Coturnix japonica: one gene and its partner. The protein of the gene in region 1 interacts with the protein of each later gene in a biochemical or structural test. Links are inferred from orthologs where the notes say so. Each region holds a gene or a part of one and is shown in the gene's direction. Other genes may lie near its edges. The genes, in order: AKAP1 and MYCBP.

Evidence for each region.
Region 2: the proteins of AKAP1 (region 1) and MYCBP form a complex in vitro, tested with the Homo sapiens proteins (2 studies listed by BioGRID). The link is inferred for Coturnix japonica from reciprocal best matches to the Homo sapiens genes AKAP1 and MYCBP.

Annotation. Positions count from the first base shown.
Region 1 is NC_029534.1:7,714,724-7,718,467, reverse strand, and holds part of AKAP1 (A-kinase anchor protein 1, mitochondrial), read left to right. Parts: intron 1-37; coding exon 38-165; intron 166-918; coding exon 919-1,096; intron 1,097-1,446; coding exon 1,447-1,597; intron 1,598-2,222; coding exon 2,223-2,290; intron 2,291-3,728; coding exon 3,729-3,744.
Region 2 is NC_029538.1:2,899,119-2,903,588, forward strand, and holds MYCBP (C-Myc-binding protein), read left to right. Parts: upstream 1-1,670; 5' UTR 1,671-1,764; coding exon 1,765-1,779; intron 1,780-1,912; coding exon 1,913-1,985; intron 1,986-3,190; coding exon 3,191-3,239; intron 3,240-3,324; coding exon 3,325-3,454; intron 3,455-3,977; coding exon 3,978-4,022; 3' UTR 4,023-4,080; downstream 4,081-4,470. Other genes in the region: GJA9 (gap junction alpha-9 protein), read left to right, coding at 1-710. UniProt on the Homo sapiens protein: May control the transcriptional activity of MYC. Stimulates the activation of E box-dependent transcription by MYC.

The DNA of each region.
Region 1 (3,744 bases):
TGTGCAACAGACTCTGTGCTGGACTTGTGTCTTCCAGGTTCCCAGCATCATGTGGAAAAAGCACTGAGCCTTATTGGCAAGAAGTTCAAAGAGCTGAGTCTCACCAACGTCTATGCTCCACCTCCACCATCGCTGGCACTTCATTCCCTCCCTATAACTTCCTGGGTAAGCCCTGGTTTGCTGGCTCTGGTGGCATTATGGTACCTAATTGCATTTGGAGAATGCTTACACATTAGTGTTTCATTGAATAATTGTTTTTGCTGCTCTTGCTGCAAGATGCTTAGAAACGCTGCTTGCATTGGGCATCTAGAATCTGTACAGTAACTGTGCACATAACTGTCTCCATGGATGTGAAGACAAGCTTTGTTCAGGAGGACTGAATTTAATAAAGTTAAAGGCACTTTTGATGTATTTTGAGCAGAGTAATGCTTTGTGTTCTGGGAAGTTGCCCAGCACAGCAGCTCTCTGGTAGGCAGGGCACACTAACTTTTGAAACTACCTCAGTGACAAATCTTAGCCCCTGTAGAGGTTGCCTTGATATTGAAAATCCTGTGGGCGAGGCTTCCTTGGGAGTTGAACAGCATTGATAGTGCAGCATGACTTGACCTACGATTATGGCTGACTCTCTCTGATCTTTTGTGTAGTCCTACAGCTGCTCTGTGCTGATAGTCTTTGTGCACAAGATGGGCCTGTCTTCAGATCTGATTTCCTTTAGTGTAGAGTAATGCTGGATATCTTTCTGGTTCTGATCCATAGCAGCCTTTGGAAGCCAGCTACTGGAATGCTGGTTTTCTCCCACCAGTGGCTGTTAGCTTTAGGAGTTGCTCGTGGAACAAGGAATTAAACAGTGTTTCTAAATGCAACTGAAGCTTATGTGACAGGAAAAGCTGATGAGTATTTCTTTCCTTCCTGTGGTAGTTGATGCTCCCAGATGGAGTCACTGTAGAAGTGGTTGTGGCTAACCAAGTCAATGCTGGACACATGTTTCTACAGCAGCATACGCACCCCACCTTCCATGTCTTGCGTAGCCTGGACCAGCAGATGTATGTCTGCTATTCTCAGCCTGGAATTCCAACCCTGCCAACACCTGTGGAAGGTAAGTGACTTGGACTTAATGTGAAGTGCATAACAGGGAAAGAGTAATTAGCACTTGCTTTCCTTGTTGGAGACAGCAGATCTGGCTGCTAGTGACCAGAGGCTGAAAAAGAAGTGGATATTTGCATAGAACAGCATCATAGTGGCTGAGATTTAGTGGCAGAATGCATATTGCTGGTCTCACCTGCTGGCCCTCTCACCTGGGAATGTGAGAGGTGTGAAAGAAAATAAAAGCAATGTAAGAAATGCTGTTGACTCTTAGTAAATAACTGCGTAGTACCAGTAAGGTGTGAAGTGCTGTTTTCTAGAAATCGATTAATGCTGAGCTTCTCTGTATTTTGTTCTTTGCAGTTGGTATCATCTGTGCTGCTCCAGGCCTTGATGGGGCATGGTGGCGGGCACAAGTTGTTGGCTACTTCAAAGACAGCGGTGAAGTGGAGATCAGATACGTTGACTATGGAGGATACGAGAGAGTAAAGATTGACACGCTCAGACAAATCAGGTCTGTAGTTTCTTTTCCACAGCCTGAGGCAATATCTGGCTTCAGTAGGCATAAAATGCATCCATATAGTTTGAAATACTGAAGTGGGAGATGGTTAAATGGTTTGTCCCAGCAGTGGGGCTGTGGAATTCTTGGGTGCGTGGTAAACCCTTGCAATTTGTCTCCACTTCCATTCAAAAAAGCCACGCAACTTCTGCCACTTCAGCTTGGAAACTTACCAAACGGATGCCTTCTAGAGTCCCAAATGTACCATTAATAGATGAGGTAGGACTAAAATTCAGCTTCTGTGTTCTCCATCCCCATTGGCTGGGAGAGCTGCATACAAGCCTGTTAAATACTTAATTGTTTTAGAAAGAGTGACAATGGCTTGCAGGTAAGAAGCATAGGCTCTGTTGTAGAGCTGATATTTGCTTGGAGCTCAAACTGACTTGTCCTGTTGAGCAGGCAGTTTATTGCTTCTAGTTAGGTTGTTGATGGAATAGTTTGTTTTTTGGTTGGTTGTTTTTTTCCATTATCATTTATAAACTGAGTTCCTATTAGAGCAGTTGATTAAGCAATGTCACTTTAAAGAATACAGAAGTAATTTGAAGCCATGTTCTTATTTTGATCTGATTCTCTTCTTAAGGTCTGATTTTGTAACACTACCTTTCCAAGGAGCAGAAGTTTTACTAGACAATGTGGTGCCACTTCCAGGTAATGGAGCTCTTTAGCTACTGTTGGTGTTCCTCCTGTGGGTTTAAATGCGCACCAGCTGTGTGCCAGAATTGATTGTCTAAACTTTATCCCTCCTATTGCAACCTCTGAAGTGGATTAGGGATTGGAAAAATTGTATTTTATTCTTCTGGATCTGCTAGAATGACACAGTCTGTCTTACTCAAGAGGAAGATAATAAATATCCAGGCTTTTTCCTGTATAGGGGTGAGAATGAATTACTCTCCTGAACAGCAGCGTGTCAGGACTGGCAGGTTGTAGCTGAAGCAGCTGTAAAGATTCTGCTGCATTCAGACATAGTGTAACTGTAAATGCAAACTTGGTTTTCAGTCTGCTAGACAAATACCAGATATTTTCCTGCTGAAAAGACTGATGTGCACGTTATGCCTTGAGAAGGCTGCCTCCAAGCGCCCTGATGTCAGTTGCTGCCTAGAAATGCTTGCTGTGTTTTCAGTTGTTTCTCCCCACCCCCTGGTGGCAGGCTCTGGCTTTGCTAGCAGTGTTTCCCGTACTGGTGTCTAAAATCCTGCCCCCCTGGGTGCAGAAGGGGTACAACATTGGGCAGGGTTTTAATCTCTGGAACTTGTGGCTGGCAGGACTCCTGTGCAGGTTCTGCCAAGGCTGTAGATGGGTGGCAGGGTTTATGCTGCTGCTCGCAGATGTGAGGGGTTTGCACATGCCCTGAGAAAATCTTCCTCCTTTGGTATTCTGGAGGTGCAGGGAATTCCTTTGTTTCTGGTGATCATCCCAAGGTGGGGAACACAAAGAGGAAACTATTTTGTAACCCATAGATAGGAAATGAATGACTTTCTTCCAAAATGAAGCCATGTCCTGTCTCATCTTCACGGAGTGGATTTTAATTGTATTGGCTGGGACATGAGAGTTTCCTGCTGCATCGTGTGTGTGCAGTTAGCAGCAGTACCCCTATAAGCTGTGCAGGTTGTGAGATTTGGGCTGCCAGTGCTTGCAGAGTGTGTTTGGCACCATTCAAGTGCAGCCAGTCTGTGGGAGAAACGTTTCAGAGCTTCTTTTTATAGTATTGCACGCTGCAGGGTCAGGAAAGGCCTGAGGCTCCTGAGCTTACTTCATTTAGGATCAAAATATTAATGGCAGAGGTACTGCAAAAGAACACTTCTGTCTTTAAAGCTTCCTCATTCCTCAACCACTCATGTTCACGTGAAGTTAGCTAGTGGCTTTGAAAAGCAGTTCATCCTCTCCCTTCAGCAACACAGCAGGCATAATACTTGTGATCTCCTGCTTAATAGACTGGTTTCAGCAAATGCCTGCAGCAGCAATAGGTGAGGATTCTCTCTGGCCTAACTTATGTGGGAGGTCAGACAATATTAGATTAATGGTACCTTCTGGACTTTAAAGCCTGTGAATATCTCACTTGTTTTCTCCTGTTCTTTTCTTTCCAAAGATGAGGATCACTTTTC
Region 2 (4,470 bases), on another chromosome or scaffold:
CTCCTCCAAAAACTCTCCCTTCTGTACTTGGTGGTTATGCCTTTTTAATGGAGAAGCAAACAGACACTGCCATCTACCCAGCCTTAAACTCTGCTCCCATCTTCCAGCCCATTCAAAACAACCACGCAGAAAACAGAGGCAATTACACCCAGCACAACCAGGAAAACAAACTGCCCAAGAAAAGGCCAGCTACGAATGCTTTAGCTGGTCAGACTCCGAATGCCAGCACAGAGTGCAGGGAAGGTTTGCTGGGCAGACCTGCGACTGAAAGGAGGAACTCGCAGAAAGAAGCTGATCAGAAACACCTCCTTGCTGGTACTCAGAATGCAGATACAGCTTCGAGAAGCTTTGCTGAGATGCTGTCGCAGCCTCCCCTGCAGCCTTTTCCTGTTGCCAGCCTCAGAAGACAGCACGGAATCATCTCCTCCTGGAACTGCTGCACAGCAGCTGAGAGTGTTGGATCCTCCACAAACTCCCTTACAAAGAGCAGCAGCAGGAGACGGAGCAGCCTCAGTGCAAGCCAACTGCCCCCCAAAGCTGACACCCGGCACCCCAGCCGCCCCAACACCCCTGATTCAGCAGGGGAGGCCAGCACTGGCTCCAAGCAGAGCAGGGGCTGTGGCAGCCCCCAACCACTGCCCTTATCAGGGCGGCTGTCGCTGTCAAGCAGTGCAAGCAGCCGGAGAGCCCCCACCGACCTGCAGATATAGCATGGCTGCCCAAGCACTGTGCTTGGGTAACTGCTGGGCTTTGTGATAAGAGCAGCCCAGGAGCAGCTTCCTCATTCAGCTTTAACCAGTTCTTCCGCAGAGGTTAAGATAGAAGCTCAGCCCTTTGCTTTTAGCTCAGTAACTTCTTGCTTCGCTGGCGATGGAGGGATGGCTTCAACCTCTGTGCCAATCTTCTGCATTAACCTTCCAGCTAAGGAGAACATATACATCATATACACCATATACATAATATACACCATATACATAATATACACCATACACAACATATACATCATATACACCATATACATCATTTACATCATATATACATCATATACAACATATACATCATATACATCATTTACACCATATACATCATATACATCATATAAATCCACATACAAAGCCACACAGGAGGAGAAGCTGGGATTACAATAGCTGGTAATATGTAAGCAATAAACATAAAAGAACAAATTACAGTCTCAGAATCTATTGTATGGAGACCAGTAAATGAAATGAGGTGGAAGATCCATTCACTGCAGGTGTTTCTCCAGCAGCTGCTGTTTGTGTTCTCAGTGTGTGTGCGTTCAGCTCTGTGTAGATGTAGGGTTGGACATTTTGGATATATTTAGGTGCTATTATGCTCATTTAACCCCATGCTGTGTATGTGAATACCCCATTTGCATTTGACACCTCTATAGCAAAAAACGTGTTGACTTCACAGCTTAAAGAGCAAAGAGACAGCACTGAGGGGCTCGTATGTAGCAGCTCAAGAGTCTGGAAGGTTAGAAAGGAACCCAAAGGGCAGATATAGGGCTCTGAATGGGTTCTTATTGCCAGCCATATAGACCAACATATCTATATAGATACAGGTATAGATACAGGGCCAGGCCGAAGCCTGCAAGCACCGCGCATGCGCAAACCTCCCACAACCGGAAGGCCTAGTCGCAGAGATAGAGACCGGGACTTCCGGTTGGGTCGCCATGCCAACGGTAGGAAGCCGGGGCCGCCATATAAGAGGCGGGCGGTGGCGGTGCGGGCGTTGCGGGGTTAGATGGCGCACCACAAGGTAGGGGCTGCGGGCCCGAGAGGGTGGAGGGGCCTTCCTTATAACCCCCCAAACCCTTGGTGGTGGGGAGGGGTCGAGCTGTGTGTAGGTAGGGATGTGCCGGTGCTCTGACAGTGTGGGCGTCCTCCTTCAGGCCGCGGATTCGAAGAGGGAGCAGTTTCGGCGCTACCTGGAGAAGTCGGGGGTGTTGGATACGCTCACTAAGGGTAAGGAGGATTGAAGGCCTGTATGGGTTGGGTTGGGGCCGAGCAATGGGAATGTGCTGTGCCAGCCCCCTAATACTGGGGTTTAATGGAGGTGTCTGTGCTTATCTGGATAGGAAAGAAAAGCACGTTGAAAGCTCAACGTATTTATCTCTTTCTTATGGCTCACTGTGCTTTAAATGATTGCTAAGGGGTATGATTTAGTGTAGGGTTGTTTTAGGGTTCTGGTTAGGCTGTGGTTGGGCTTGATGATCTTTGAGGTCTTTTCCAATCTGCATAATTCTATGATCCCTTTGTGCTCTCAAGATCCTTTCAACATGGTGTTATATTCCTACTTAATAAAGCACGTTGCTTATGGGGTGTAGCAGCTGTGAGGGGTGTGCTCTGTGCTCAGCCCAGGTGTGTTGGAGCCCTTTGATTTCCTCTGGCTGTGGCTGTGCTGTTGCAATGTGGAAGCAAAACAAATCTTCCAAGCCCTGCAGCAAGCAAGTTTGGCTTCTAACTTTAAGTGTTTAGCTTAAAACTGTGCAGTTTGTGTGGCTGAAAATGGGAGGGAGGCGCTTAAGCTCCTTGAGAAGCATTTATCAAAGCAGAATGGTGGGGTGTGTGTGTGTTATGTCATTCATTTTGTGCTCCATAATCACAGAATGACCCGGGTTGGAAGGGACCTCAAGGATCATGTAGTTCCAACCCCCCTGCCTGGCAGGGCCACCAAACATACACCTTTACTAGATCAGGTTGCCCAGGAGACCCCATAGAGACCCCATAGATCAGGTTGCCCATGGCCCCGTCCAACCTGGCCTTGAACACCTCCAAGGACGGGGCATCCACAACCTCCCTGTGCAGCCTGTTCCAGGGCCTAACCACTCTCCTAGTGAAGAACTTCCCCCTAACATCCAACCTAAATCTTCCCTCTTTTAACTTAAAACCATTTCCCCGTGTCCTGATATTGTCAGCCCTATCGTCCCCTGTGGGTCAAAGAAATCCCTTCTGCCCACCCATTGAAGTATAGGATGCTCTGTTTCACCTTGTGCATGACTAAGATACTATGATGATGATCTCTGTCCTTAACATGAAGGATATAGGTGAGAATCTTGAACATGCTGTGAGCTTGGTGTGCAACTTGTATTTATTCTGTCTGCTGTATGTGTTTTGGAAACTAGAGTTGCATGGATGTCTTATAATGGTTGTTCGTCTTGTATTTGCAGTGTTAGTGGCCTTATATGAAGAGCCAGAGAAACCAAGCAGCGCACTGGAGTATCCTTTCTGTCCTCTATGGGTTGGTTCTTGCTGTTATAAGCAGCCTGTTGAGCTGAGGAAATACTTAACATCACAATATCAGCTTTTTGAAGCATCACCTGGGAGCTTCAGCTCCTGAGAGTCCAGAAATGGAGGCGCTTCGTATGGAACTGGTAGAGCTGAAGGAGAAATACGAAGCTGTGCTGGAAGAGAATGAGAAACTGAAATCCAAAGTAAAAGTCTATTTAGTGTTCAAGTCTTTTTAGTATTCCTAAGTACTTCTGTGTTTGATAAGGGTGCTTTGGCACTTATAATACAGCTAACTTTCACTGCCATAACTGATTATGATGTTATAGGGTTTGGCCTTGGGAATATTATCTCATTCCTTGCCTATATGTAGCTTCTGATGGAAGACTTGTATTCTGAAATGCAGTTTTTGCTAACAAAATAAGTAAATTAAGGGATAGTGGGAAACTCCATCTCATCATTCAGTCCCATTTGTTATCTGATAATGTGTATATGGTTCCATAAGAGCTTTGTAAAGCAGGGCTGGGGGGAAGCTAATGCTTTTCTATTCAGGCATTCCAAAGCAGGAGGGGAAATAGTGTTAGTTATTGAGGCCTGGCATGGGTCTGTGGCTGGGTTTTACCACAGGAGGTCACCCTTTACCCCTATGGAACATTAACATCCAACTCTGCTGCTCCTGTGTCTTTTAAGATGCCCCATCTAACTGATTGCCTCTCTTTAAATCCACAGCTGGCTCAATATGAACCACCTGAAGAAGAGAAGCGTGATGAATAACAGTAGTTTCTCCTTTCGTACCTTGGCTTTATTAATAAAGGGCTTATTGTGAACCGCACTCCTGCTTCTTCTATGTGAGTGCTGTGTGTCTCTGTGGGTATCTCAACTATAAGGACAAGCAGGGGGTGTGCAGCTCTATTTGTGGTCAGTCATTTTACTTCCGTGTGTGTAGGAAGGAGCTGAAAGAGGAAATAACACAGTGTAAGAGTTTCAAAGGCAAAACAACCCCCAACTCTATTGCAGGAGGTAAATTAGAGTGTATAGCATGTGTGTGCAGGCTGAGAAGGGGCTGATCTATGTATATATGGGGCTCCATATATCGGCTCGGCCCCATGTCCCCACCCTCGCCGTCATATGACCGGAGCGTCTCCCAGCACCTCCTCCATCGGCTGCGAGAAGCTTCGTTGTCAACCAATAGGGTCCTAAATGGGTGGGACTTTGCGTTGCA